Tribolium castaneum: one gene and its partner. The protein of the gene in region 1 purifies or fractionates together with the protein of each later gene. This does not show direct contact. Links are inferred from orthologs where the notes say so. Each region holds a gene or a part of one and is shown on either strand. Other genes may lie near its edges. The genes, in order: Cortactin and Arp2.

The links.
Region 2: the proteins of Cortactin (region 1) and Arp2 purify together in Homo sapiens (affinity purification with mass spectrometry; 3 studies listed by BioGRID and IntAct, with this or other methods). This does not show direct contact. The link is inferred for Tribolium castaneum from reciprocal best matches to the Homo sapiens genes CTTN and ACTR2.

What each region holds. Positions count from the first base shown.
Region 1 is NC_087400.1:1,542,153-1,559,300, reverse strand, and holds the start of Cortactin (src substrate cortactin), read left to right. Parts: upstream 1-7,132; 5' UTR 7,133-7,303; coding exon 7,304-7,467; intron 7,468-7,516; coding exon 7,517-7,760; intron 7,761-10,696; coding exon of another isoform or gene 10,697-12,259; exon of another isoform or gene 12,260-12,307; intron 12,308-15,608; coding exon 15,609-15,774; intron 15,775-15,823; coding exon 15,824-16,104; intron 16,105-16,453; coding exon 16,454-16,978; intron 16,979-17,100; coding exon 17,101-17,148. Other genes in the region: Ubox5 (U-box domain containing 5), read left to right, coding at 1,237-2,307; tRNA (guanine(37)-N1)-methyltransferase, read right to left, coding at 5,450-5,484, 5,530-6,787.
Region 2 is NC_087394.1:25,846,977-25,862,251, forward strand, and holds Arp2 (actin-related protein 2), read left to right. Parts: upstream 1-1,964; 5' UTR 1,965-2,284; coding exon 2,285-2,332; intron 2,333-2,387; coding exon 2,388-2,498; intron 2,499-2,574; coding exon of another isoform or gene 2,575-2,589; intron 2,590-4,430; coding exon 4,431-4,451; intron 4,452-4,525; coding exon 4,526-4,684; intron 4,685-4,738; coding exon 4,739-4,867; intron 4,868-5,546; coding exon 5,547-5,960; intron 5,961-6,013; coding exon 6,014-6,337; 3' UTR 6,338-6,427; downstream 6,428-15,275. Other genes in the region: uncharacterized protein LOC100142249, read right to left, coding at 956-970. UniProt on the Homo sapiens protein: ATP-binding component of the Arp2/3 complex, a multiprotein complex that mediates actin polymerization upon stimulation by nucleation-promoting factor (NPF).

The DNA of each region.
Region 1 (17,148 bases):
ACATGTGTTCAAAGGCGGAATTTCGGAGTTACATAGAAAGGAATTAAACATTATTATTGGTGTAAGTGCGCACTGTAATAGTGTGTATTTAATAAATAATGAAAATATGGCGGAAAATCCCGCTTCATTTCGTTGCCTTACAGCATAACACCGGTCAAAGCAAATCAAAGACGTTTCTTTTCTCTATGCATAAAATGCAAATGCCACAAAAAGTTTTAACAGTAATCCCCAGTGGCCCAAACCTGGCTATATAAAGTTGCTAGTCCGCCTCTGAACATCACACAATCTTCGAACGTCGGGACGAAATGGCGCTCAAATTCAGGTAAATCCCCGACTTGTACCAACTTTTAAATTTATTTGATTTGTTTAGAATTTTTGCACTTGTGGCGGTGCTAGTTCTCATGGCATGGATGTTCACTGGGACTCAAGCCCAAGTCACTTTCTCTCGTGACTGGAATCCGGGCAAAAGGACCGAAAATACGGATTTGCATAACACTTTGAAGACGGCGTCTGCTGTGTGTCACCTGCTTATGGTAAGTTTTTATCAATGAGAAACAATAATAGTGGGCAAACTTTTGTTCTTCTATTATTAATAAGAAAAAAATTTTTTCGGGGATTTTCAGAACCAAGTCCGACAGTTGGCATCTTGTGACAACAACAACGAACTAGAACCAGGAGCAACTATTTTCAGTGGCCGACGATAAAATGCGACGCTTTCGAGACTTTATTACACTTTACTGTAGTTATTATTAAACATTTAGAACGAAATATATGAGTATTATTCGAATGTCCCGCCTTTATTTCACGGGGACAACCCCGGGCTCCCTCCCAAACTTACTTGTTTTATTACTTATTACTACCACGTGTTATTACTTATTACTTACTTATTATTACTTTTACTTTTTTATTGAATTTTTTGGAATTTTCAAATTTGGGCTCAGTGGTGCCCCCAACGGTCTAAATTACAATTTTTTTTTGGATTATGAGATTTGATCAAATAAATAACTTTACCTGCAATTAATTAATTACTTTAAACATGTGTTGTTTTAAAATAAATAAATAAACTGATTTTATTTAACTGCCCCTACTGATCCTTAAATTATTTTTTAATCAAAAAAAAAAAATTTGAGCTAATGGGAGTTATCCCAAAAGCAACTTAACCCAACTTTCACAACCAAGTTAATTTAATTTACACAAATTTAAAGTCCACGGTGATATTTTCGCGCTTAGTTTAGTATGTACAACTTCCTGGACCCCAAACTGAGCCCCAAAGTGTCCAGCAGCGCCCCCGCCACCGACAATTACGAAGCCTCCAACCTAATCAGCGAAAACGGGGCTGTCCGAGCCCGCGGTTTCCTAGCTTACACTGTAACGCGCCCCCCTGTAGCCCTAGAATTCGAGTTTTTGTGCCCCATTAGTGTCTCGTTCATTGCACTTGAGACAAGTGTTGGGCGCCAAAAGTGTACAGGAATCGAACTTTTTGCAAAAAACTCCACTACTCCCTTTACTTCAATCGCCAGAGCGGTCTTTGACAAGTCGGGTTTAACCGTCTGTGATAGCAAAACTTATAATAAATCTAAACCGCCCCCTTGTCACACTCCCGATAAAGAACTGCGTTATTTTAAAAGTGATCAGAGGCGCCTTTGGGGCGACACCACCTGCCTCAAAGTTGTGATTTTTCGCACCGATCGCAGCGTGCCCTGCTTGGGGGCGATTAAGGTGTTCGGCGCCCCTTCGGGGAGTTGCTCCAAAGTGACTGTCGAGACAATTGGGAGGATTATGGGGGGTTCCCCGGAAGCGCCCCAAACGGGGGGAGGACAAGAGGGGTTAAAAATCCCCCAGGATTTTGTTGATGACTTAACTTGCGAAATTATGGCAATTCCCATGACTCTACCAAGTGGCAAAACTGTGGATAGAGACACGCTTGACAAACACATAGAGAGTGAAAAATCGTTCGGTCGTAAACCTTGCGATCCCTTCACAGGACTTAAATTCACCGAAACGCGCAAACCGGTGATCAATGTTGCGCTCAAAAGCAGAATTGATATGTTTTTGATGCAGAATTCGACAAATCCGGCGTTTTTTGGGCTAAAAAGGGCGCTAGGGGGGCAAAATTTGAGGGCCGATAATAAGAGGGCCAAGTACGGGGGGGAGAAAGAGTGTTGTAGTTGTCGGTGTTGCCAGTTTTTATACAAAATTCCCTGCCAGCATTATTATTGCAGGAATTGTCTGTTACAAGTTGTAAAATTAGAGTGTAATTCTTGTGGACTCGAATTTGTAAAAAGTGACGCTGTACGTTGTCATTAATAAATATTTTTATAAAAACGATTTTTTTTTATTTCCTGTTCAAAACTGTTGTTTGCACTTACACTTCACTGTTAAAAAATTCATAACTCGAAAACTAAAAGTCGTAGAGCAAAACGGTTTGTTCCAGTGAATTCTGCTGCTCAAATTGCTTAGAATACCAGCCTTTTCACAACACTAGCTTACTCGAGAAATTTTTTAAAAAATATTTTAATTTTAAAATTGGTGGATGCGCCGGGTTATTCATTAAAAAATTCATAACTCGAAAACTAAAAGTCGTAGAGCAATGCGGTTTGTTCTGTTGAATTCAGCGGCTCATTTTCTGTATTATACCAACATTTAACGAGATCTAAAGTTTTAAAATTTTTTGTTAAAAATTAAGACAGGTATTACCTATAGCGGAAAATTTTATTCAACAAAAAAAATCATAACTCGAAAACTAAAAGCCGTAGAAGAAAACGGTTTGTTCCAGTGAATTCTGCTGCTCAAATTGCTTAGAATACCAGCCTTTTCACAACACTAGCTTACTCGAGAAATTTTTTAAAAAATATTTTAATTTTAAAATTGGTGGATGCGCCGGGTTATTCATTAAAAAATTCATAACTCGAAAACTAAAAGTCGTAGAGCAATGCGGTTTGTTCTGTTGAATTCAGCGGCTCATTTTCTGTATTATACCAACATTTAACGAGATCTAAAGTTTTAAAATTTTTTGTTAAAAATTAAGACAGGTATTACCTATAGCGGAAAATTTTATTCAACAAAAAAAATCATAACTCGAAAACTAAAAGCCGTAGAAGAAAACGGTTTGTTCCAGTGAATTCTGCTGCTCAAATTGCTTAGAATACCAGCCTTTTCACAACACTAGCTTACTCGAGAAATTTTTTAAAAAATATTTTATTTTTAAAATTTTTGGATGCGCCGGGTTATTCATTAAAAAATTCATAACTCAAAAACTAAAAGTCGTAGAGCAAAACCGTTTGTTGCAGTGAATTCTGCTGGTCAAATTGCTTAGAATACTAGCCTTTTCACAACACTAGCTTACTCTAAAAATTTTTTAAAAAATATTTTAATTTTAAAATTGGTGGATGCGCCGGGTTATTCATTAAAAAATTCATAACTCGAAAACTAAAAGTCGTAGAGCAATGCGGTTTGTTCCATTGAATTCAGCGGCTCATTTTCTGTATTATACCAACATTTAACGAGATCTAAAGTTTTAAAATTTTTTGTTAAAAATTAAGACAGGTATTACCTATAGCGGAAAATTTTATTCAACAAAAAAAATCATAACTCGAAAACTAAAAGCCGTAAAAGAAAACGGTTTGTTCCAGTGAATTCTGCTGCTCAAATTGCTTAGAATACCAGCCTTTTCACAACACTAGCTTACTCGAGAAATTTTTTAAAAAATATTTTATTTTTAAAATTTTTGGATGCGCCGGGTTATTCATTAAAAAATTCATAACTCATAAACTAAAAGTCGTAGAGAAATGCGGTTTGTTCCACTGAATTCAGCAGCTCATTTTCTGTATTATACCAACATTTAACGAGATCTAGAGTTTTACAATTTTTTGCTAAAAATTAAGATAAGTATTTCTTATAGTGGAAAATTTTATTCAACAAAAAAATTCATAACTCGAAAACTAAGAGTCGTAGAACAAAACGGTTTGTTCCAGTGAATTCTGCTGCTCAAATTGCTTAGAATACCAGCCTTTTCACAACACTAGCTTACTCGAGAAATTTTTTAAAAAATATTTTAATTTTAAAATTGGTGGATGCGCCGGGTTATTCATTAAAAATTCGTAACTTAAAAACTAGAAGTCGAAGAGCAATGCGGTTTGTTCCATTGAATTCACCGGCTCATTTTGTGTATTATACCAACATTTAACAAGATCAAAGGTTTTTAAATTTTTTGTTAAAAATTAAGACAGGTATTTCTTATGGTGGAAAATTTTATTCAACAAAAAAATTCATAACTCGAAAACTAAAAATCGTAGAGCAATGCGGGTTATTCTATTGAATTCAGCAGCTCATTTTCTGTATTATACCAACATTTAACGAGATCTAAGGTTTTAAAATTTTTTGCTAAAAATTAAGATAGGTATTTCTTATAGTGGAAAATTTTATTCAACAAAAAAATTCATAACTCGAAAACTAAAAATCGTAGAGCAATGCGGGTTATTCTATTGAATTCAGCAGCTCATTTTCTGTATTATACCAACATTTAACGAGATCTAAGGTTTTAAAATTTTTTGTTAAAAATTAAGACAGGTGTTTCTTATGGTGGAAAATTTTATTCAACAAAAAAATTCATAACTAGAAAACTAAGAGTCGTAGAACAAAACGGTTTGTTCCAGTGAATTCTGCTGCTCAAATTGCTTAGAATACCAACCTTTTCACAACACTAGCTTACTCGAGAAATTTTTTAAAAAATATGTTAATTTTAAAATTGGTGGATGCGCCGGGTTATTCATGAAAAAATTCATAACTCAAAAACTAAAAGTCGTAGAGAAATGCGGTTTGTTCCATTGAATTCAGCGGCTCATTTTCTGTATTATAGCAACATTTAACGAGATCTAAAGTTTTATAATTTTTTGCAAAAAATTAAGATAAGTATTTCTTATAGTGGGAAATTTTATTCAACAAAAAAATTCATAATTCGAAAACTAAAAGTCGTAGAGCAATGCGGTTTGTTCCATTGAATTCAGCGGCTCATTTTCACATAGGTTTAAGCCAAAATAGTTCGAGATTTCCAAATAGTTTTGCCGCAATTAAAAAATAAAAAATAAAACACACTAACGTAATAAACGATTTATTTTATGATCTACAACTGCATGGCATTCAATTGCTTCAAAGTGTCTTGCGACTTTTCACCAACCTCCTTCGTCACATTCTGACGTGACGGTAATTTGGTTTTATTTTTAGTTTCTTTCTTCTGGTCACCGGTCGAATTTCGGACTTTTTCCTGCAAGTTGACGAGTTCCTTATCAATTTCCGTTATCTTGGCCTTATTTTTATTATTAATCTGGAAACAACCCTCTTTCTATTTCCTCACAAAAATAATTTTTCACCCACCTGTTTGAGCTCACTTTTGACAGCTTTCGCCTTGGCCTTGAGCTTCAAGCTTTTGGCCCCGGCGACCTTGAACACACTATTGAGCTTCTTCTTGTTTTTCCCCATCACAGACTAGAAAAAACAATTAATAAAAAATCATTCAATTGTTTGTATTACGTTTTTTGGATTCAACGCCAACGCAGGAATTTTTTCGTTTCCGTACGTAATTTTTGACCAAAATTTCGCGGTCTAACTTGAACGTGATCCTCATCATTTCTTTGAGCGAGCTGACGGTGCGCACACGAAACACATCGGTAATTTTTTCTTCAACATTCCGACCGATTTTTTCACAAAGTGATTTTTTGGCAATGTTTATGAAATCCTCGCCTTTGGCAAAGCAATAAACTACGACAACTGGGTGTTTCCCAAATTCTGGTAACTCATCATTTGAGAATAAATCAACAAAAGTTGTTAAAAAATCAACGGCCAGTGCCGGAAGATTCATCAGAATAAAAACATTTTTGGCCGAAAATTTCGGCAACAACTCCTTAACCTCGCCCAAGATAAACTCCCGCCCGTCCTTATTATAACTCTTAAAGTAATTTTCCCCAACTTTGTTTATTTTAAAGTTGTGATTTAGCCATTTAAAGGACTCGGGATTGAGATCATTGGCAAAAACCTGGCACTTTTTCCTAGCCAAAGGCACGGAAAACGGCCCAACCCCCGCGAAAACATCAAACACAACATCACCACTCTCTATCATATTGACAATTCTTTCGTGTTCAGTGCAGAGTCTAGAATTCCAGTACACTTTCGCAAAATCAAACTCAAACACACATTTATTTTCCCTAACGTGCGTTTGCGTGTCGTTTTCGCCCCTTAAAACCTCCATCTGGAAATTCCGATACGTGTTATCAATACTCCCCACTTTATTGACCACAGTCCGACAATTGGGCACTTTATCAAACAACACTTGCCCAATTATGTCTTTAAACGGAACGAGGTGTTCGCGCAGGTTAACGTGCACAATGTGCCCCACTTTAGTAAAACTCGACATCCCCTCGACATTCGGGGGAAGCACGGCGCGAAAAACGCCCTCAATCGAAAAATTCTCGTAGTTTAAAGTCAACGGCTTTAATTCGAGTTGCACGCACAGGTCGTTTAGCAATTTTTGCGTTTCTGGCGGCAAGTCACTAAAAGCCCCTATTATTTCCGGGTTGAAGTAAACGTGGGATTCCCCCGTGGTTACGTTACAAACCGGCTTAAAATTCTCAATTTTTAACAAGTAATTTTTCACGAATGGCAAGACTGATGAGATTTTCACGTTCTTAAGGATGAGACACGGGACGGTTATGTTTTTCTTGAACAAATTCTTGTCCAAAGTTGTTAACCCAGCTACTTGAGCTGGTGGTTTGAGGTTAGGGACAGTTGTCATGCTTTTGGAGCCACGAAAGTCGATTAAAGTGGATTTAACGAAGGGATTGTGGCCCTAATTACGCGAAAGTAGCACCAGTTGTGGGAATCGCAGGCGTTTAGAGGGGACGGTTTTGTGGAACATTTAAATCAAACGCACGTTTTTGGAGGTTACTTACGTTTTGACAAGTGGAGTAGGTCAATTGACCCGATTTTTTAACCAACCGTTTGAATTATTATCATTGAAAAAAAGCAAATTGTTGTGTACTGTTACAAACAACCGAATGATACATTTTTTAGGGAAATGAAGTGGTTCCAGTGCCTATATAATTATTGATTAATTGATAAAATTAGTTTGGTAGTTTGAAAGTGTCGTAAATTTCGGTTAAACGTCCCGAAGTTGTCTGTGTCACTGGGGGCCGGGTGTTGCCTTTGTTGATAACAGTTATCACAAAATTGCCACAATTCTAATTACTTAGTTTTTTCGTTCCGTTTGTGTTGCCTAATTGGTGTTTTTTTTGAAAACTTAACCTAAAAAATGTGGAAAGCGGCGGCAGGTCAGCAAATTAATTTAAACGACCAGCCCACCGAGGATGACGAGTGGGAGACAGACCCGGATTTCGTCAATGACGTGAATGAGCAGGAGCAGCGATGGGGCTCTGCCACCATTGCGGGGTCTGGGAGGACAGCTGGGGCTATAGAGTAATGGGGTTTTTGGTTTTGGTTCGCTTGTCTCATGTGTTTGCCTTAGTATGAGTCAGTTGAGGAAGGAGACGGAGGAGGCGGACGCGCTGAAGAAGAAGAAACAGTTGGAGGAAGGGGCCAGTAATCCCGCTTTTGGGTACGGGGGCAAGTTCGGGATTGAGAAAGACAGGATGGATCAGTCGGCCGTGGGGCATGAGTATGTCGCGAAAGTCGAGAAACATGCCTCACAGAAGGACTACAGTGCGGGCTTTGGGGGCAAGTTCGGGATACAGGCCGATAGGGTAGATAAGGTTAGTCTGATTGGTTTTTATTTGTCAAGTTTAGTCACAAATGTACAAGTAGCAATATTTTTTTGCTTTTCACACGCTGATAAGGACAATCGTGCTCTTATCTCAAATTACGAAAACAATCTTACGCTGAATTATGATCATGATCACAGTTTAATTATTCAATTAATTCAATTATTGAATTATTTGTTTACAATTGTTTCGTATTTATTTTGTCGCGTTATTATTATTATTAGTTATTTAAAATTTTAAGAAAAATGCTATAAGGTCAAGCATTGTTATCGAGAACGAGCATTTAAACAACTAGATTTTTTACAAATAAATAAATAAATAAATATAAAGAAAATGCAACGTTTTGAAACAGCTTGTAGTAATGATTGCGAAATTTAAGGCCAGCCTACGGATATCTAAAACTAAGGATGAAACGACGTACAAATAAAAAGTCCCGTCCTCTATAGTTCCGTTAATGTCGCCAGAGGCGCACTTGTTCCATTACCGTCTGTTTTCAGAGCAATCAATTTATAAAAATTGTTGTAATTAAATAACGGTTAGCACAAGTTGAATAAAAAAAATACAGGCAGATAGAGCATCAAATTCTCAATAATCGGAGATGAAAATAGTGCAAAAATTATATCTTAAACTATATTTAAAAAAATTTCAAAGTTTTACCAATTTGCACTCTGCCCCATATTTTTCAAAACGCTGCGAATACGGTTACAGATACAAGAAAAATGTTCAGAGGAAAGTTGTAGAGAATTAAATTTCCTTTAAAAAAGTCCGCGAGACCATATCCTTATCTTCAACCATTTAGGCCCCAAAGTCATTCAAAGACGCTCAAGTGTCGGATTTCCTCCATTTTGCCGGTGGTCAAGTATTGGAAAATTAATTTATACCTAAACCGTTGAAGATAGACATATCGTGTCGCGGACTTTTTTGTAGAGAATTTAATTCTCTACAACCTCGCCTCTTTCACTTTTTTGTATCTTCAACCGTATTCGCTGCGTTTGCCAAAAAAAACGCAATAATTCTAAGCGATAATTTTTTGGGCACCGTCGCCTATTTATTAAAACGCTGCGAATACGGTTGAAGATACAACAAAAGTGTAAGGAACAAAGTTGTAGAGAATTAAATTTGCTACAAAAAAGTCCGTGACACCATATTTCTATCTTCACCGGTTTGGGTATAAATTCACTTTTCCATACTTGACCACCAGCAAAATCAGTCGCTTAAGCATCTTTGAACGTTTTTAGGGCCTAAACCGTTGAAGATAAAGATATGGTCTCGCTGACTTTTTTTCAGGAAATTTAATTCTCTACAAATTTGTTCTAAACATTTTTCTTGTATCTTTAACCGTATTCGCAGCGTTTTGAAAAATACGGAAAGTCACAAAAAAAGGTAAAAACACCCGGTATCCAGATAAAATCTGGTGAAAAATTTGAAAATTAAATTGAAAAAAAGTGGAAGAAAATGTTTTCTCAAAGCTAATTCGCCGACTTTTGAACTGAATGTATTTGCGTTTTACGTGAATTATTGCAATTATATAGTTTGTAATGTTGATTTATTTAAAAAGTTTGTGTTAAAATATCTACAAAACACGGTCAGTACCTGGGGCCCGGTGGCCCAGTGGTATAAGCGCCACTTACGACGGTGGAGGTCGCGGGTTCGAACCCGGATCACGGCAACAATTTTTCTATGAAAAAAAAGTGTAGAAAAGGTAAGGAAACAAAACGTGAGCAAAAATAAGAGATTGAGAGAACACATGGACGTATAAACGTAAAGCGGAGCAAAAAACTGACAGAAATAAGAAAATAATGCGGCAAAAGGCATGACGTACAGCACGGTGATTTGAAAATGTCATGCCAATAAACCCCGGCTGAGGGATCGGTAGGTACTTAGACCGCAACCATCTGTGGCAATAAATCATTTCGTCGTGAACTTCCAAACACGAAATAATTTTACTTTTCAACTGCTTAAAATTTGATTTGACTTTATAATGATTTTAGTAATTGAAGTCACCGCTATTTTTAATTCCAATTTCAATTGCCATTTAATTCGCATTGTGAAACAAAATTAATTTTGAATTTTAAATTTGATTGCCTCTAAAGGCATATTTGAGAATAGTGCAAATAAATTATAAATTAATTAATTACAATCAAACATCTGATTAACTGATCACGTTATCAAATTGAAGCCATCTGATTCATTTTTTAGTCGCGAATTAACTTAACAATGAATTAAAATTTAATTCAGGATAAAGCTCATTCGAATTAAGTTGCCATTTTTTGTATTGATAAACGTCAAGTTAACCTTGAATTAAACCTGCTCATATCAGGTCTTTTAAACGTTCAGTAAACCGGCCCTTAAAGTCACCACTAATTATTTTTGTTCCACTTAATAATTGTCATTTAAATCGCTTTGTGAAACAAAATTAATCTCGAATTTAAATTTGATTGCCACTAAAGGCATATTGAAAATAGTGCATAAAAAAGGATTATTCCTTTTGACGTGTCATTTAATGAATATTAATAACAAAAATTTTATTTGGTTCTGTCAAAAAACAATTTAAAAAAATTCCAGAGCTAAATTTGTATAGAAAAAAAATCTAAACAAATCAAGAATAAATATTTATTTATACAAAGTTTAATATTTGGTATAATAGCCATTATTATCTATGCATTCCTGCATTCTTCTTCTCATACTGCCAACCAAGTTCTGAAAAATATCTGTTCTTCTCAATCGATTCCATACATTCAGAAAGGCGTAAAGGCGTCTTATTGTAAACGTACTTTTTGTTTTGGGAGAAAAAGAGATGAACGTATAACTTCAAACTCTGAGTTGAATCCTTACATAATTTTTGAACGAAAATATTTTAAAAAAATTTCAAAAATCTAGTCGCCCCGCCTGTCACTTAGACACTCCCCTGTCACCGTCAAAACTAACCTCAAACCTCTAAAAATCAATTTTCAAAAATTTCGGGCCCACACAAGCCATACCGAGATGACTCGGAACAATACAGCCTCAAAAAAATAGACACAAAAGTCTGGGACGCCTCAAAACCCGGCCGATTATGGAACGGTCCCGGCACCTACGAAATACCCGTCGAACTCTACGCCGAAAACCGCAAACGCCTAATCGAGCAAATCCACGCCAAAGATCCCGGCAAGCCCGTGATCCTCCTGCAGGGCGGCGACGAAATCCCCTTCTACGACACGGACATCACCTACTCCGTCTTCCGGCAGGAATCCAACTTCTTGTGGACGTTCGGAGTCACCGAACCCGGCTGTTTCGGCGCCATCGACATCGCCACCAAGAAAACCTTCCTGTTCGTTCCCCGCTTCCCCACGTCCTATCTCATCTGGCGCGGGCCTCTGCCCTCTCTGGAGGACATCAGCAGGAAGTACCAAATCCCCAACGTGCATCATAAGGACAACATCGCCTCCATCCTCCGGAATCTAAACCCCAGTGTCTTGCTCACCCTCAAGGGGGTTAACAGCGACAGCAACCTGCTGTCCCGGGAGGCGCACTTCGAGGGAATCGACAAGTTCCGGGTGAACAACACGGTCTTGTACAACGAAATCGCCAACTTGCGCGTGTACAAGACCGACTTCGAGCTCGATGTCATGCGCTACGTGAGCGACATCTCCTCGGAGGCGCACCGGAAGGTGATGCGCTTCGCCAAGCCCGGCAAGACGGAGTACCAATGCGAGGCGGAGTTCCTGCACTATTGCTACGCCACGGGGGGCTGCCGGCACACCTCCTACACGTGCATCTGCGCCTCGGGGGCCAACGGGGCCATCCTGCACTACGGGCACGCCGCCGCCCCCAACAACAAGATGATCGAGCCCGGGGACTTGTGCCTCTTCGACATGGGGGCCAACTACTTCGGCTACTGCGCGGACATCACGTGCACGTTCCCGGCCAATGGCAAGTTCTCCCCGAGCCAGAAACTCATCTACGAGGCGGTGCTTCTGACCAATACGACCGTTTTCAAGTCGCTGAAGCCGGGGGTTTCCTGGCTGGAGATGCACACGCTGGCGCACCGCGTCCTGCTGGGGGAGCTGAAGAAGGGGGGGCTGCTGAAGGGGGACGTGGAGGCGATGGTGGCGGCGGGGCTGGGGGGCGTGTTCCAGCCGCACGGGCTGGGGCACCTGCTGGGGCTGGATGTGCACGACGTCGGGGGGTTCATTGGGGCGAAGCGGTCGGATTTGAAGGGGGCGGCGATGTTGAGGACGACGAGGGAGCTGAAGGAGAGGATGGTGATCACGGTGGAACCGGGGTGTTATTTTATCGATGTTTTGCTGGATGAGGCGTTGGAGAGTGCGGCACTGTCTAGGTTTCTGGTGGCGGATGTTATTAAGCGGTTTCGGGGATTTGGAGGGGTTAGGATTGAGGATAATGTTCTGATTACGAAAAATGGGGCTGTTAGTTTGACCAAAGTGCCGAGGAGTGTGAAGGAGGTGGAGGATTGGATTGCCGGGAAAGATAGCAAGACGTATCATTAAATTTCTTGTATTTACGTATTTTAATAAAAAATTTAATTCAAAAAAATACTACGGTAGACTAAAATTTATTTTATGTAATTTATAATTACGGCTAAACTATTCAAAAAAGTGGAACTACTTTTATCCATACCTATGTAAAATGATCCGGGGAAACGATTGGCATCAAGAAAATTGCCAAATTCTCAATAGTTTTTTAGTTATAAATTTTTTTAAATTTTACCAAATTTTGCATTTGTCTCCAATTTGCTCGAAAACTATTAGTCGGAGAACAATATTTTTTTTTGAAAACAATAGATAATTTAAAGAGCTTTCCAACGATAATACTATTATCTCTAATAGTTCCGGAGCTATTGCTCGAGAAATGTTCCGGGTACCCAAAATCGACAAAAACTGCGACGAAAATTGAAAAAATCAAACGTCAAAAAATCAAACATTTGGACTTTTTGTGGACTTTTAACAACTTTTGTGGGTTGTTAAGACACGTAGAAGTCCATAAAAATTTATTGGAGTGAGTTTAAAAAAATTTTTTTTTTACTTTTTTAAGGTAAGTATTTCAGGAAATTTGAGCATTTAAATCTCGTTGAAAGTTGGTATATTACAGAAAATGAGCCGCTGAATTCAATGGAACAAACCGCATTGCTCTAGGACTTTTAGTTTTCGAGTTATGAATTTTTTTATTGAATAAAATTTTCCAATATAGAAATTGCCTATCTTTTTTAATTTTTTGCAAAAAAATTCAAAGTGTCAGATCTCGTTGAAAGTTAGTTTAATATAGAAAATGAGCTGCTGAATTTAATGGAACAAACCGCATTGCTTTACGACTTTTAGTTTTCGAGTTATGAATTTTTTTGTTGAATAAAATTTTCCACCATAAGAAATACCTGTCTTAATTTTTAACAAAAAATTTAAAAACTTTTGATCTTGTTAAATGTTAGTATAATACGGAAAATGAGCCGCTGAATTCAATGGAACAAACCGCATTGCTCTTCGACTTCTAGTTTTTAAGTTACGAATTTTTTAATGAATAACCCGGCGCATCCACCAATTTTAAAATTAAAATGTTTTTTAAAAAATTTCTCGAGTAAGCTAGTGTTATGAAAAGGCTGGTATTCTAAGCAATTTGAGCAGCAGAATTCACTGGAACAAACCGCATTGTTCTACGACTCTTAGTTTTCGAGTTATGAATTTTTTTGTTGAATAAAATTTTCCACCATAAGAAATACCTGTCTTAATTTGTAACAAAAAATTTAAAAACTTTTGATATCGTTAAATGTTGGTATTATACAGGAAATGAGCCGCTGAATTCAATGGAACAAACCGCATTGCTCTTCGACTTCTAGTTTTTAAGTTACGAATTTTTAATGAATAACCCGGCGCATCCACCAATTTTAAAATTAAAATATTTTTAAAAAATTTCTCGAGTAAGCTAGTGTTGTGAAAAGGCTGGTATTCTAAGCAATTTGAGCAGCAGAATTCACTGGAACAAACCGTTTTGTTCTACGGCTTTTAGTTTTCGAGTTATGAATTTTTTTGTTGAATAAAATTTTCCACCATAAAAAATACCTGTCTTAATTTGTAACAAAAAATTTAAAAACTTTTGATATCGTTAAATGTTGGTATTATACAGAAAATGAGCCGCTGAATTCAATGGAACAAACCGCATTGCTCTTCGACTTCTAGTTTTTAAGTTACGAATTTTTAATGAATAACCCGGCGCATCCACCAATTTTAAAATTAAAATATTTTTAAAAAATTTCTCGAGTAAGCTAGTGTTGTGAAAAGGCTGGTATTCTAAGCAATTTGAGCAGCAGAATTCACTGGAACAAACCGTTTTCTTCTACGACTCTTAGTTTTCGAGTTATGATTTTTTTTGTTGAATAAAATTTTCCGCTATAGGTAATACCTGTCTTAATTTTTAACAAAAAATTTAAAAACTTTTAATCTCGTTAAATGTTGGTATAATACAGAAAATGAGACGCTGAATTCAATGGAACAAACCGCATTGCTCTACTACTTTTAATTTTCGAGTTATGAATTTTTAATGAATAACCCGGCGCATCCACCAATTTTAAAATTAAAATATTTTTTAAAAATTTCTCGAGTAAGCTAGTGTTGTGAAAAGGCTGGTATTCTAAGCAATTTGAGCAGCAGAATTCACTGGAACAAACCGTTTTCTTCTACGACTCTTAGTTTTTGAGTTATGATTTTTTTTGTTGAATAAAATTTTCCGCTATAGGTAATACCTGTCTTAATTTTTAACAAAAAATTTAAAAACTTTTGATCTCGTTAAATGTTGGTATGATACAGAAAATGAGCCGCTGAATTCAATGGAACAAACCGCATTGCTCTTCGACTTCTAGTTTTTAAGTTACGAATTTTTTAATGAATAACCCGGCGCATCCACAATTTTAAAATTAAAATATTTTTTAAAAAATTTCTCGAGTGAGCTAGTGTTGTGAAAAGGCTGGTATTCTAAGCAATTTGAGCAGCAGAATTCACTGGAACAAACCGTTTTCTTCTACGACTTTTAGTTTTCGAGTTATGATTTTTTTTGTTGAATAAAATTTTCCGCTATAGGTAATACCTGTCTTAATTTTTAACAAAAAATTTAAAAACTTTTGATCTCGTTAAATGTTGGTATAATACAGAAAATGATCGGCTGAATTCAATGGAACAAACCGCATTGCTCTACGACTTTTAATTTTCGAATTATGAATTTTTTAATGAATAACCCGGCGCATCCACCAATTTTAAAATTAAAATATTTTTTAAAAATTTCTCGAGTAAGCTAGTGTTGTGAAAAGGCTGGTATTCTAAGCAATTTGAGCAGCAGAATTCACTGGAACAAACCGTTTTGTTCTACGACTTTTAGTTTTCGAGTTATGAATTTTTTTGTTGAATAAAATTTTCTACTATAAGAAATACCTATCTTAATTTTTAGCAAAAAATTTTAAAACTTTAGATCTTGTTGAAAGTTGGTAAAATACAGAAAATGAGCCGCTGAATTCAATGGAACAAACCGCATTTCTCTACGACTTTCAGTTTTTGAGTTATGAATTTTTTAAAAGAATAACCCGGCGCATCCACCAATTTGAAATTTAAAATATATTTTTTTAAATTTCTCGAGTAAGCTGGTGTTGTGATAAGGCTGTTATTCTAAGCAATTTGAGCAGCAGAATTCACTGGAACAAATTGTTTTGTTCTACGGCTTTTAGTTTTTGAGTTATGAATTTTTAAATTTTTTTTTCTTGTAAAAAATTAATATAACATGTAAAATAGTAGCAAATTTTATTTTATCACCTAGCAGTTACAATATTTTACTTAGAAAATTAGATTTTTTTTATTTTAGAGTGCCGTTAGTTGGGAGCACAAGGAAAAAATCGAGAAACACGCCTCCCAGAAAGACTACGTCACCGGTTTCGGCGGCAAATTCGGCGTCCAAACGGACCGCCAAGACAAGTCGGCCGTTGGCTGGGATCACATCGAAAAAATCGAAAAACACGAATCGCAGAAAGGTTTCTTATCGTAATTTTCGCAACAATATTCACACTTTAGTCACTCCAGATTACGTCAAAGGCTTTGGCGGGAAATTCGGCGTCCAGTCGGACCGCCAAGACAAGTCGGCCGTGGGCTGGGACCACCACGAAGCCCCCCAGAAGCACGAAAGCCAAACCGACCACAAAATCGGCTTCGGCGGAAAATTCGGACTCCAAACCGATCGCGTGGACAAATCCGCTGCCAATTTCAACGACGAACCGGCGAAAGTCGGCACGAATTACACCAAAGTCAAGCCGGACATTGGCGACGCGAAGCCGAAGGACTTGAGGGCCAAATTTGAAAATATGGTAGTTTTTTCAACCATACAGGGTGCCCCAACCTAAACTTCCATCTTCCGCAGCTCAGTTATTAGTAAAGTTGGGCTTATGAAATTTTCTAGACGTTATCTATACGCGCCGAAGTATTTCGGGAAAATATTTTTGATTATACAGAGTGTTCCAAAAAAGTTTGCCTTTGAAAAAAATTTTTTTGGGACACTCTGTATAATCAAAAATATTTTCCCGAAATACTTCGGCGCGTATAGATAACGTCTAGAAAATTTCATAAGCCCAACTTTACTAATAACCGAGTTACGGAAGATGGAAGTTGAGGTGCGCCACCCTGTATATTATTTTTGACGTGTTATTTTTTGTCCAGAGTTCGCAGGAGAAGCAAGAAGTTGAGAAAATCTCAACTCCTAAGAAAACGGTTCATGCCAGAGCCGCCATGTTTAATAACAAAATGGAGGAAACTGCACAAAGTACGCCTACACCAGAAAGAGTGCCTAAAGTGTTGGACTCGTCGAAAACGGCGTTTTTGACGCAGACGAGTCAAGCGGAGACACCAAGTGGCGAAGTGCGAGTTCCGAAGAGTTTGGATGAGTCGAAGAAGGCGTTTTTGGCGCAGGAAACACGGGAGGAAGTTAGAGTTGTTCCGGGACAGTTGGATCAGAGCAAGCTGGCTCAGTTTAGTAGCGAAAATCATGAGGTGAATGAAGAACAGGAAGAAATTTACGAAAATGTCACTAGTCAAGTTACGAATGAACAACAAGAGGAGGTTTATTACACGACTGATGAAATTGTGGATACGGGGATTTCCGCAGTGGCGCTGTATGATTATCAAGCGGCGGCTGATGATGAGATTTCCTTCGATCCGGATGATATTATTACCCACATTGAGAAGGTTTGTTTTTTATTTTTTTTCTGTAGCAAATTTGTTCAATTTTTTTTTTATTTTTCGTAAAGTCCTGTTGTAGAAAAAATGTTGTATTGTGTGATAAATGAGTATTAATTTTTTGTTTTTAGATTGACGAGGGTTGGTGGAGAGGTTTGTGCAAAGGCAAATATGGATTA
Region 2 (15,275 bases), on another chromosome or scaffold:
CAAGAATTTAAAGAAAAAACAGAATTTGGTCGGAAATGACGTACTTTTTTAAGAGTTAATAGAGTTTTTAAACTACAATTTCAGAATGTTTCTCAAATCAAATCAATAATTACATAATTTTTACGTTTTTTGAGCTTTTTTCTTTTTGGAACTGTACTGTTGCACAAATACAAATACATACAAATACATACAAATGTACCGCTTCAGGCTTATTACTAATTACTGAGAGATGTATTACTCTTTGAACCTTTGAACAATCATTTAAAATTTTTCCTGCTTTCGAAAGTAACCAGTTGCCAATACAATTTGTCACTTTGGCAGTGCATACGTCAGCTGACAGCTCCATGAACAATAAGTCAACAACAATAATAAGGAAAATGATTAGTAATTTACAGCACTTTATTGACCTTGAAAATTCTTGGCACTTTATCAAAGTGAAAAAGCCGTTATCAGTGTCAAACACATAAGATGACAGTGCTACTGCTTATAGCAAAATCCAGTACCTTATTTGTACCCAAAATAAAATAAAAAATATCATTTATAGCGCTTTACTTATGGCATTTCCAAAACAGAGACAAATCAAAGCAGAAGCTTTTTTTGATTTGTAGAAACACTGTTCGCTTTGTAAAATCTGTACAGAAAAATGTATAATAAATAAATGTATGACAAATGCGTAAAACTTGTTTGATATCAGTTAGAGATCGAGGAAATGTAAGCAAAGGTGTGTAGGATCAGTTTAAATTGTACTGAATTGTACTGAATTTCCGGTTGACAACTTTTCGTTTCAAAAATACTGACACTGACAAGGAAGATAGGTAGATATTCTTTCAAACAATTATTATTTGTCCACTCGTAATGAATCACAGCCACCAAAAAGCAACATAAATGGGAAGGTAAATAGAAATTGATAGGAGATAACGTACCAAAAAACCTACAAAAAAATGCACACTCTTACCTCATCCAACTCCATTGCGGTAACTATTCTTGTAACTGGCACAGGATTAATTGTTTAAATGCAAAAACTAACAAAATAGCACAAATTATTCAAAATAAACATGAACCGACTTGTTTGCAAATTTGACACCAACATGTGCCAAAGTGTCACGTGACCGACTACACCATTGTAAAGTGCGAGCTACCGAGTGTGCACAAGAACAAAATGCTTTTTTTAAATCCAATACTCAGCTGTTTATTAACAAATTTAACAAAATCTAACACAACTATTACGCTAAGTTACATCTATGCAAACGTTAACGTAATAATACTGATAATAAATATTGCCGAGTTATCGTTCATTTTTTCCTCAAACTGACCGCGTTCCAAATTATCAGTTATTTTAATTGCATTGTATATTATTATTTTATTCATTACGTGATTGTTTTTATGCGTATGGAGACAAGTGGCAAAATTGTACATATTATTATTGCATAACTCTATTTTTTAGCATTGGAGTGCGTTCCAGGTCATTAAGTTAAAATTCAGTGCATTTTGTAATTTATTACATCTGTAACATATTTGTGCTCTGTGCATATGCATTGTCTAATTTTTTGCATTTTTTGTTTTGTGTCGGCACTTTTCGCTTTCGCTGTAAGGTAGGGGCGTCATTTTTTTATTGTGACTGTGTTACAAATGTGATAATTTTTGAGGAATGGAATTTTTTGAAATTCTTTCTAATTTTTGAGTTATGTAAAATTTTATTTAGTCTCGGCTACGGAGGACTGTCATTAGGAAACAAAACAAGACACAAAACAGCAGGATTTTCTGAACCCAGAAAATAGTACAGTGGAGTAAAAACGAGAGCACTTTGAGTGTTATAATGTCTTGGCACCAAACTGTTTTAAATTAATTTAAATCCAACTTTTAGATGTGGGTTCGATCAAAGGATTTAAATCTTCCGCCATTATGCCAAATGGCACCGTTGATGGCGCCACAAAAGCGACCACCACTAACAACTAACAAGGATAGATTAAATTGTCAATTCTGACTATCTCTCTTGCTCTTATTGTATGGGGGTGCATGTCACAAGCACCGGTACAAAAACGGGTGGTTTGTCAAATTTTTTAATTGCATTAATCAAAATTAAATAAACAGACACAATTTAAACAAACAGCAAATCATTCATCTTTTTTTCACTTGTGACAATTTGTGATATGTGTTCGATTTATATCTATGGGCGTGGACAGATTTCCTGGAGTGACTGTTCTAGTGTAATTATCCCAAAATAGGGCTTAAAGACTCCTCTTCTCCTACCAATTAACAATTAAGTTCATTTAATCGCATCACCATGGATAGTCAAGGCAAAAAAGTCATTGTTTGTGACAATGGAACTGGGGTAAGTTTTGCTCTTTTTCCACAATTTTTTTGTTAAAACTGACTGCTGGTTACAGTTTGTCAAGTGTGGATACGCAGGGAGCAATTTCCCGGCCCATATTTTCCCTTCAATGGTCGGCAGGCCCATCATACGGGCTGTAAATAAAATCGGAGATATTGAGGTTAAGGTAAGGATGATTCAAATCACAGTTAACATTTTTCGTTTATTTCATCAGGTGAAATGATCAAACTTTGTTATCCTAGGATTACCATGTAGATGTAAGTGCCTCAAAGAGGTGTGTGTTTTGACTAACCCTCGTTTGAGTGGTTGCACCTCACAAGAGGTCACTAACAGTGTTTCTCTTTGTTGTTTTCTTGATTTTTCTGTGTTTTTGAGTTTATTTATTACGTTGTTACTAAATTCGTGAAATGATTGACGGGCTTTTTTGTCAAGCTGGCTTTGGAAACGTTTATTAAAAAAATTACCAGGCGGCTGAAATACAGTGGCATCGAGTTATAGCGAACTTCCCAACTATTTAATTTTGACTTAAAATGTGAATTTATAATGAATTTTGAGGAATATTTAATGACAAAGCAATAAGAGAAGTGTTGACTCATGAACAAATTATTGAATTACTAACTAAAAAACATTTTAACTAACAAAAACGTGTGTTTTTAAACATAATTACAGTCTGAATTTGATAGTTGTGCAAATATTTTATGATAGTAGAGCTCAAAGGAAGTCAAATAAATTAACTTGCTTTATCCCAACTTATACTACTTTTACTAGTTTTTGGGATAAAAGGGTGCAACCTCCTCTTCAGCGTCTAAAAATTCGTCAAAAAAACGCAATATCAACAAAGTTTACGTCTTTTGAGCACTTTTTTTCTAAGTTTACATGACTAATAGGGGGTGACATTTGAGGAAATTAAATTTAGTAGTATCTGCGCCAAAAAAATCGGTGCAAAATTTTTATATTTTAACATTTTTATATTTTTTTATGGAATGACTTGTTTTTCTGTGGCTGTTTTTGCTAATTTTAATTTAGTGTAATAGATGTTGAAGAAGTAGGTTTAGAGGCTAAATTGATTTAGGTATTTGTTGGTTTTAAATTTATTCGCCGACCAAAACTATATCTCACAAATTATGAATATTCGGATAATGCAAGTTGATTTATTTTCACTTCTTTTGAGCTTTACTATCATCCTTTACAATAACTGCACCAATATAAAATTTACGCAGTACACATACGGGGTGTCCCAGCAAAAAGAGCACCTTCTTGTAACTTTTTTATTTATTAATCAATTTGAACAAAATTTAAATTACACATGTTTGGACCAAAGGTCCACATTTTAAAGTAACCAATTATTTGAGGAGTTTACTATTTGTGAGATAAAAAAATAAAAATCATGAAAAAAGATGCAAAATTCTTAAATTCCATATTATTCGAATAAGCTATGTTACATTGCCGTGTTGGCAAACTTTGTTTTAACAAACGAAATCCAGATTTCCTTAAATTCTTTTTTAAAATCACAAAAAAATGAAAATTTTGAATGAAATATCATCGTCCATGGGGCGGTGTTGTGAGAAAGAGTTAATGTTTTTTTTACAATTTATACTTACTTATTTCGTCTTATTTCATATGCAAAATAAAAAACTGATAAAAACATTTTTTTATTTTACTGCTTATAGCGAACTTCGGGTATAACGAACTGATTTTGTTGCATTTTCGTTATTATAACCGGACTACAATGTATATAATTTTTTTACTGTTTCGCAAAGCATTTATGTTTTTTTTTGCAGTAAATATTTATTTATTTTGGCTTATTTCATATGTAAAGTACAAATAACTGTTAAAAAGACACATTTTTCGAGTTCGTTATAATGGGACACCACTGTATTGCTGTTTATAAGATTTACGGCTTAAATGTAAACAACAGGGTGCAAAGCTGGTTTAAAAGCGTTGATTACGTATCTTTATTTTTATTACTTTGTATAAATATTTGCATTCTGTGCCAGTCGTGAAAACTCAAAATCACCAGATTTTCAAACTAGCTTGTTGATCATTATTTCGATTAAACTCGAATTTTTGACTTAATGCTACCTTTTGCACGCTTCAGGGAGTTGCAAGTACTCTTCCTGTAAGTAAATTTGAAGCCCTTTGATGTGTAAATGTGTTTTTTTTTTACAATTTTTATTATAACTTCAATTTTAGGACTTGATGGTTGGAGATGAAGCTTCCGCTTTGCGATCGCTTCTCGAGGTGAATTACCCGATGGAAAATGGGGTTGTGCGCAACTGGGAGGATATGTGCCACGTGTGGGACTACACTTTTGGCCCCCGAAAAATGAATTTGGACCCAACTGATGCTAAAGTAACATCAAAAAATCATAAAAATTGACTATAAATTTTTAAATTTGTATTTTAGATTCTCCTGACTGAACCCCCAATGAACCCCACGAAAAATCGGGAAAAAATGATCGAAGTCATGTTCGAAAAGTACGGTTTTGCGGGGGCTTATATTGCTGTCCAAGCCGTACTCACTTTATACGCTCAGGTTCGTTTACACAGTTGGTGGTCCAAAAATAATAATAATTACCAGAAAAGAATTATTGGTTATTATTATTGAACTTTTTCTAGTTCAAATCATTCTAGACAAAACAATTTCGTGAGAAGTTAAAAAAAACGGCTTATATTACCCGAAATGTGTTCTTATTGTTGTTATTATTATTACTATTGTTATTATAGACACTTAAAAACGAGATAACTTTTTAAAAAGTGGCTGTAAACGTCTTATTCTGACCAGAAACATCGACTTACAGATGATTCTTTGCTTATAAGCAAGAGAATTCTCATAGAACAAACAAAAAAAGTCTTATTCCATCTCAATTCCATCAATTTTTTGCTTAGAAACATGAAAATTTTTTTGAGAAGAGCCCAAAAACTGCTAACATCCGAAATGTTTTTCATTATTATTACTATTATCATTGTTAATAATAAATTATTAATTAATTTATTAAATTAAATTTAATAATAAATATTAGTTAAGAGCCAATTATAACTTTCGGGTAGCGAACGGTTTATCCACTAGTTTGGGAGAAAATGGTTATTTCTAATGTGGGATTTAGATGGAACAACCCTATAGAGTACTGAATTCCAAGGGACGTTATTTAAATCATTTAAAAATACTTCATAATTAAAATTATTTTTAATAAAATATGAATGTTTGATTCTAGGGACTTCTGTCGGGTGTTGTTGTCGATTCTGGTGACGGAGTGACACACATTTGCCCCGTTTATGAAGAGTTTGCTTTGCCGCATTTAACCCGACGTCTGGATATAGCAGGCCGTGATATCACCCGCTATCTTATTAAATTATTACTACTGAGAGGTTACGCATTTAATCATTCGGCTGATTTTGAAACCGTGCGAATTATGAAGGAAAAATTATGTTACATTGGTTACGATATAGAAACAGAACAGCGGTTGGCTCTGGAAACTACTGTTTTGGTTGAGCCTTATATTTTGCCAGATGGCCGTGTGATCAAAGTTGGCGGGGAACGGTTTGAGGCCCCTGAAGCATTATTTCAACCGCATTTAATCAACGTTGAGGGACAAGGCATCGCTGAGCTTGTTTTTAATACAATACAGGTTGCATGGTTTGTTTTTTCTACAGCTTGGTTTAATATTGCTTTGTTGTTTAGGCGGCTGATATTGACATGAGGCCCGAATTGTACAAACATATAGTACTCTCAGGTGGTTCCACTATGTATCCAGGGCTCCCTTCACGACTTGAACGTGAAATAAAGCAATTGTATCTAGAACGCGTACTTAAAAATGACATAGAGAAATTAAATAAGTTTAAAATACGAATTGAGGATCCGCCGAGACGTAAAGACATGGTTTTTATCGGTGGAGCAGTTTTAGCCGAAGTTATGAAGGATCGGGATGCGTTTTGGATGTCGAAGCAAGAGTATGAGGAGCAAGGCTTGAAGGTTTTGAAAAAACTGGGGCCGAGGTCGGCGTAAGCAATTTTAAATAATATACGTGTTTTTATTTTCATATTTAATTCATTCAGTGTATATTTAAAGGCAAGTTGAATAAATCATTTTTAAACAGTTGTTTTGTTTCCACTGGGAAACCAAATCTTATCGTTCCTCACCGGCAACGTAATAAGTTACGTTGATAGTAACATGAAATTTGAATAGTAATAGAACAATACGCTTTTTTTGTCGTTTATGTTAGAAATTGATGTTAGAAAATCATGCCTCCGAACAAATAAAACCTCCGAATAGAAGTTTTTGACCCAAAAAATTTACTGCTGCACTTTGCTAGTAGGCTGTGTTTATAGGGGTGACGTTTTTTATGATTGTGACCAGGCATCCCGAACTGATATAGCCAAATCGAGCCCTCACTGAATTAGGTTTTACTGATGATGCGGATAGATGGCCTTAGTGTTTTACGGGAAAAAGAAATCCTATTGGCGGATTTAAAATTTCAGATTATTGAAGAAAAACGTGGTGCCGATGCGCGGCTGACAAGTAAAAATTTCACAAACGTCACAAATTTCACAAACGTCACAAATTTCACAAATTTGAGTTTTATGAAATTATTAGTTTGTGAAATAAATAAATACGACACAGCAATAAAATACACCTACCTTCATATCGCTTCCACGTTGGCTACCGTTTGTAGCATTAAAAAAAATAATAATAAAAATGAAACCAAAAAAAATGTTTATTTGCATTAAATTTTGAGCAAGCCACTTTCATTCATTGAAATTAAAGGTAAAATTGCGTGTCAATAAATTATTTAAGTGTTTTATTTTATTTATAGTTACTGTATTTAAAATGTGTCACTCAAAATATCACTTTTCAACACCGCATTTAAAGATTTTAATTGCAATTAAGTTTTATGAAATTATTGGTTTGTGAAATAAATAAATACGACACAGAGATATAAAATACACCCATCTTCATATCGCTTCCACGTTGGCTACCGTTTGTAGCATTAAAAAAAATTAAAAACAACACCAATAAAAAATCTTTATTTGCATGAAAATTACAACAAGCGACATAATTTTACGGCTGTAAAAAACAATCAACAATGTTATATTTAAGGATTGTTCTAATTGGTCAAATTAGTCAATAACTAATTTGTCCGGCAAAAACCACGTGGAAGTTTAGAGCATTCTTGCCAAGAAAAATGGATATAAGGATGTGGTAAACAATGATTATTTCAAATGAAGGGAATAAAGGAATTATTGGTTTGTGAAATGAAAAAATAGTACACAAAAATCAAAGCTTTTTCACTTGGCGTTAAATAAATGCTCTTACCTTTATACTGCATCTGCTACCATTTGTAGCAAAACCTAAAAAATAAATTAAAAACACAACCAACAAAAAAATTAATTTGTAGGAAAGTTACAACAAGCGACTTTAATAAATATTATACAGAATAAAGAATACACAATACGGTATAATATATGGCACACAAGCTATTAAATCAACACATGACAAGATAAAACGCAAAAAAATGCACCTACCTTCATATGGCTTCTGCGTTGGCTACTGTTTGTAGCAAGACATTTAAAAAATTAAAACAACACCAATAAAAATCTTTATTTGCATGAAAGTTACAACAAGCAACGTTTGTCAATATTAAACAAAATAAAAAATACACAATACGTTTCAATTTGTGGCAATTAAAATTCAAATCAAATTCAATACCTCAGTAAATAAATGCACTTACCTTCATATCGCTTCCACGTTGGCTACCGTTTGTAGCATTAAAAAAAAATAATAATATAAATGAAATAAAAAAAAAAATGTTTATTTGCATTAAATTTTGAGCAAGCCACTTTCATTCATTGAAATTAAAGGCAAAATTACGTGGCAATAAATTATTTTAGTGTTTTATTTTATTTATAGTTACTGTATTTAAAATGTGTCACTCAAAATATCACTTTTCAATACCGCATTTAAAGATTTTAATTGCAATTAAGTTTTATGAAATTATTGTTTTTTTGAAATAAATAAATACGACACAGCAATAAAATACACCTACCTTCATATCGCTTCCACGTTGGCTACCGTTTGTAGCATTAAAAAAAAATAATAATAAAAATGAAACCAAAAAAAAATGTTTATTTGCATTAAATTTTGAGCAAGCCACTTTCATTCATTGAAATTAAAGGCAAAACTACGTGGCAATAAATTATTTGAGTTTTTATTTTATCTATAGTTACTGTATTTAAAATGTGTCACTCAAAATATCACTTTTCAATACCGCATTTAAAGATTTTAATTGCAATTAAGTTTTATGAAATTATTGGTTTGTGAAATAAATAAATACGACACAGCAAAAAAATACACCTACCTTCATATCGCTTCCACGTTGGCTACCGTTTGTAGCATTAAAAAAAATAATAAAAATGAAACCAAAAAAAAAATAATAATAAAAATGAAACCAAAAAAAATGTTTATTTGCATTAAATTTTGAGCAAGCCACTTTCATTCATTGAAATTAAAGGCAAAATTACGTGGTAATAAATTATTTGAGTGTTTTATTTTATTTGTAGTTACTGTATTTAAAATGTGTCACTCAAAATATCACTTTTCAATACCGCATTTAAAGATTTTAATTGCAATTAAGTTTTATGAAATTATTGGTTTTTTGAAATAAATAAATACGACACAGCAATAAAATACACCTACCTTCATATCGCTTCCACGTTGGCTACCGTTTGTAGCATTAAAAAAAATAATAATAAAAATGAAACCAAAAAAAAAATAATAATAAAAATGAAACCAAAAAAAATGTTTATTTGCATTAAATTTTGAGCAAGCCACTTTCATTCATTGAAATTAAAGGCAAAATTACGTGGTAATAAATTATTTGAGTGTTTTATTTTATTTGTAGTTACTGTATTTAAAATGTGTCACTCAAAATATCACTTTTCAATACCGCATTTAAAGATTTTAATTGCAATTAAGTTTTATGAAATTATTGGTTTGTGAAATAAATAAATACGACACAGCAATAAAATACACCTACCTTCATATCGCTTCCACGTTGGCTACCGTTTCCACGTAGCATTAAAAAAAATAATAATAATAAAAATGAAATAAAAAAAAAATGTTTATTTGCATTAAATTTTGAGCAAGCCACTTTCATTCATTGAAATTAAAGGCAAAATTACGTGGCAATAAATTATTTTAGTGATTTATTTTACTTATAGTTACTGTATTTAAAATTTGTCACTCAAAATATCACTTTTCAATACCGCATTTAAAGATTTTAATTGCAATTAAGTTTTATGAAATTATTGGTTTGTGAAATAAATAAATACGACACTGCAATAAAATACACCTACCTTCATATCGCTTCCACGTTGGCTACCGTTTGTAGCATTAAAAAAAATTAAAAACAACACCAATAAAAAATCTTTATTTGCATGAAAATTACAACAAGCGACATAATTTTACGGCTGTAAAAAACAGTCAACAATGTTATATTTAAGGATTGCTCTAATTGGTCAAATTAGTCAATAACTAATTTGTCCGGCAAGAACCACGTGGAGGTTTAGAGCATTCTTGCCAGGAAAAATGGATATAAGGATGAGGTAAACAATGATTATTTCAAATGAAGGGAATAAAGGAATTATTGGTTTGTGAAATGAAAAAATAGTAAACAAAAATCAAAGCTTTTTCACTTGGCGTTAAATAAATGCTCTTACCTTTATACTGCATCTGCTACCATTTGTAGCAAAACCTAAAAAATAAATTAAAAACACAACAAACAAAAAAATTAATTTGTAGGAAAGTTACAACAAGCGACTTTAATAAATATTATACAGAATAAAGAATACACAATACGGTATAATATATGGCACACAAGCTATTAAATCAACACATCACAAGATAAAACGCAAAAAAATGCACCTACCTTCATATGGCTTCTGCGTTGGCTACTGTTTGTAGCAAGACATTTAAAAAATTAAAACAACACCAATAAAAATCTTTATTTGCATGAAAGTTACAACAAGCAACGTTTGTCAATATTAAACAAAATAAAAAATACACAATACGTTTCAATTTGTGGCAATTAAAATTCAAATCAAATTCAATACCTCAGTAAATAAATGCACTTACCTTCATATCGCTTCCAAGTTGGCTACCGTTTGTAGCATTAAAAAAAATAATAACAACGAAACCAAAAAAAAAATAATAATAAAAATGAAACCAAAAAAAATGTTTATTTGCATTAAATTTTGAGCAAGCCACTTTCATTCATTTTAGTTAAAGGCAAAATTTCGTGGCAATAAATTATTTGAGTGGTTTATTTTATTTATAGTTACTGTATTTAAAATGTGTCACTCAAAATATCACTTTTCAATACCGCATTTAAAGATTTTAATTGCAATTAAGTTTTATGAAATTATTGGTTTGTGAAATAAATAAATACGACACGGCAATAAAATACACCTACCTTCATATCGCTTCCACGTTGGCTACCGTTTGTAGCATTAAAAAAAATAATAATAACAATGAAACCAAAAAAAATGTTTATTTGCATTAAATTTTGAGAAGCCCCTTTCATTCATTGAAATTAAAGGCAAAATTTCGTGGCAATAAATTATTTGAGTGGTTTATTTTATTTATAGTTACTGTATTTAAAATGTGTCACTCAAAATATCACTTTTCAATACCGCATTTAAAGATTTTAATTGCAATTAAGTTTTATGAAATTATTGGTTTGTGAAATAAATAAATACGACACAGCAATAAAATACACCTACCTTCATATCGCTTCCACGTTGGCTACCGTTTGTAGCATAAAAAAAATAATAATAAAAATGAAACCAAAAAAAAATAATAATAAAAATGAAACCAAAAAAAATGTTTATTTGCATTAAATTTTGAGCAAGCCACTTTCATTCATTGAAATTAAAGGCAAAATTTCGTGGCAATAAATTATTTGAGTGGTTTATTTTATTTATAGTTACTGTATTTAAAATGTGTCACTCAAAATATCACTTTTCAATACCGCATTTAAAGATTTTAATTGCAATTAAGTTTTATGAAATTATTGGTTTGTGAAATAAATAAATACGACACAGCAAAAAAATACACCTACCTTCATATCGCTTCCACGTTGGCTACCGTTTGTAGCATTAAAAAAAATAATAAAAATGAAACCAAAAAAAAATAATAATAAAAATGAAACCAAAGAAATGTTTATTTGCATTAAATTTTGAGCAAGCCACTTTCATTCATTGAAATTAAAGGCAAAATTACGTGGCAATAAATTATTTTAGTGTTTTATTTTATTTATAGTTACTGTATTTAAAATGTGTCACTCAAAATATCACTTTTCAATACCGCATTTAAAGATTTTAATTGCAATTAAGTTTTATGAAATTATTGGTTTGTGAAATAAATAAATACGACACAGCAATAAAATACACCTACCTTCATATCGCTTCCATGTTGGCTACCGTTTGTAGCATTAAAAAAAATAATAATAAAAATGAAACCAAAAAAAAATAATAATAAAAATGAAACCAAAAAAAATGTTTATTTGCATTAAATTTTGAGCAAGCCACTTTCATTCATTGAAATTAAAGGCAAAATTACGTGGTAATAAATTATTTGAGTGTTTTATTTTATTTGTAGTTACTGTATTTAAAATGTGTCACTCAAAATATCACTTTTCAATACCGCATTTAAAGATTTTAATTGCAATTAAGTTTTATGAAGTTATTGGTTTTTTGAAATAAATAAATACGACACAGCAATAAAATACACCTACCTTCATATCGCTTCCACGTTGGCTACCGTTTGTAGCATTAAAAAAAATAATAATAAAAATGAAACCAAAAAAAATGTTTATTTGCATTAAATTTTGAGCAAGCTACTTTCATTCATTGAAATTAAAGGCAAAATTACGTGGCAATAAATTATTTTAGTGTTTTATTTTATTTATAGTTACTGTATTTAAAATGTGTCACTCAAAATATCACTTTTCAATACCGCATTTAAAGATTTTAATTGCAATTAAGTTTTATGAAATTATTGGTTTGTGAAATAAATAAATACGACACAGCAAAAAAATACACCTACCTTCATATCGCTTCCACGTTGGCTACCGTTTGTAGCATTAAAAAAAATAATAAAAATGAAACCAAAAAAAAATAATAATAAAAATGAAACCAAAAAAAATGTTTATTTGCATTAAATTTTGAGCAAGCCACTTTCATTCATTGAAATTAAAGGCAAAATTTCGTGGCAATAAATTATTTGAGTGGTTTATTTTATTTATAGTTACTGTATTTAAAATGTGTCACTCAAAATATCACTTTTCAATACCGCATTTAAAGATTTTAATTGCAATTAAGTTTTATGAAATTATTGGTTTGTGAAATAAATAAATACGACACAGCAATAAAATACACCTACCTTCATATCGCTTCCACGTTGGCTACCGTTTGTAGCATTAAAAAAAATAATAATAAAAATGAAACCAAAAAAAATGTTTATTTGCATTAAATTTTGAGCAAGCTACTTTCATTCATTGAAATTAAAGGCAAAATTACGTGGCAATAAATTATTTTAGTGTTTTATTTTATTTATAGTTACTGTATTTAAAATGTGTCACTCAAAATATCACTTTTCAATACCGCATTTAAAGATTTTAATTGCAATTAAGTTTTATGAAATTATTGGTTTGTGAAATAAATAAATACGACACAGCAAAAAAATACACCTACCTTCATATCGCTTCCACGTTGGCTACCGTTTGTAGCATTAAAAAAAATAATAAAAATGAAACCAAAAAAAAATAATAATAAAAATGAAACCAAAAAAAATGTTTATTTGCATTAAATTTTGAGCAAGCCACTTTCATTCATTGAAATTAAAGGCAAAATTTCGTGGCAATAAATTATTTGAGTGGTTTATTTTATTTATAGTTACTGTATTTAAAATGTGTCACTCAAAATATCACTTTTCAATACCGCATTTAAAGATTTTAATTGCAATTAAGTTTTATGAAATTATTGGTTTGTGAAATAAATAAATACGACACAGCAATAAAATACACCTACCTTCATATCGCTTCCACGTTGGCTACCGTTTGTAGCATTAAAAAAAATAATAAAAATGAAACCAAAAAAAAAATAATAATAAAAATGAAACCAAAAAAAATGTTTATTTGCATTAAATTTTGAGCAAGCCACTTTCATTCATTGAAATTAAAGGCAAAATTTCGTGGCAATAAATTATTTTAGTGTTTTATTTTATTTGTAGTTACTGTATTTAAAATGTGTCACTCAAAATATCACTTTTCAATACCGCATTTAAAGATTTTAATTGCAATTAAGTTTTATGAAATTATTGGTTTGTGAAATAAATAAATACGACACAGCAAAAAAATACACCTACCTTCATATCGCTTCCACGTTGGCTACCGTTTGTAGCATTAAAAAAAATAATAATAAAAATGAAACCAAAAAAAATGTTTATTTGCATTAAATTTTGAGCAAGCCACTTTCATTCATTGAAATTAAAGGCAAAATTTCGTGGCAATAAATTATTTGAGTGGTTTATTTTATTTATAGTTACTGTATTTAAAATGTGTCACTCAAAATATCACTTTTCAATACCGCATTTAAAGATTTTAATTGCAATTAAGTTTTATGAAATTATTGGTTTGTGAAATAAATAAATACGACACAGCAATAAAATACACCTACCTTCATATCGCTTCCACGTTGGCTACCGTTTGTAGCATTAAAAAAAATAATAAAAATGAAACCAAAAAAAATGTTTATTTGCATTAAATTTTGAGCAAGCCACTTTCATTCATTGAAATTAAAGGCAAAATTTCGTGGCAATAAATTATTTGAGTGGTTTATTTTATTTATAGTTACTGTATTTAAAATGTGTCACTCAAAATATCACTTTTCAATACCGCATTTAAAGATTTTAATTGCAATTAAGTTTTATGAAATTATTGGTTTGTGAAATAAATAAATACGACACAGCAATAAAATACACCTACCTTCATATCGCTTCCACGTTGGCTACCGTTTGTAGCATTAAAAAAAATAATAATAAAAATGAAACCAAAAAAAATGTTTATTTGCATTAAATTTTGAGCAAGCCACTTTCATTCATTGAAATTAAAGGCAAAATTACGTGGCAATAAATTATTGTAGTGATTTATTTTACTTATAGTTACTGTATTTAAAATTTGTCACTCAAAATATCACTTTTCAATACCGCATTTAAAGATTTTAATTGCAATTAAGTTTTATGAAATTATTGGTTTGTGAAATAAATAAATACGACACTGCAATAAAATACACCTACCTTCATATCGCTTCCACGTTGGCTACCGTTTGTAGCATTAAAAAAAATTAAAAACAACACCAATAAAAAATCTTTATTTGCATGAAAATTACAACAAGCGACATAATTTTACGGCTGTAAAAAACAGTCAACAATGTTATATTTAAGGATTGCTCTAATTGGTCAAATTAGTCAATAACTAATTTGTCCGGCAAGAACCACGTGGAGGTTTAGAGCATTCTTGCCAGGAAAAAAGGATATAAGGATGAGTTAAACAATGATTATTTCAAATGAAGGGAATAAAGGAATTATTGGTTTGTGAAATGAAAAAATAGTACACAAAAATCAAAGCTTTTTCACTTGGCGTTAAATAAATGCTCTTACCTTTATACTGCATCTGCTACCATTTGTAGCAAAACCTAAAAAATAAATTAAAAACACAACCAACAAAAAAATTAATTTGTAGGAAAGTTAAAACAAGCGACTTTAATAAATATTATACAGAATAAAGAATACACAATACGGTATAATATATGACACACAAGCTATTAAATCAACACATCACAAGATAAAACGCAAAAAAATGCACCTACCTTCTTATGGCTTCTGCGTT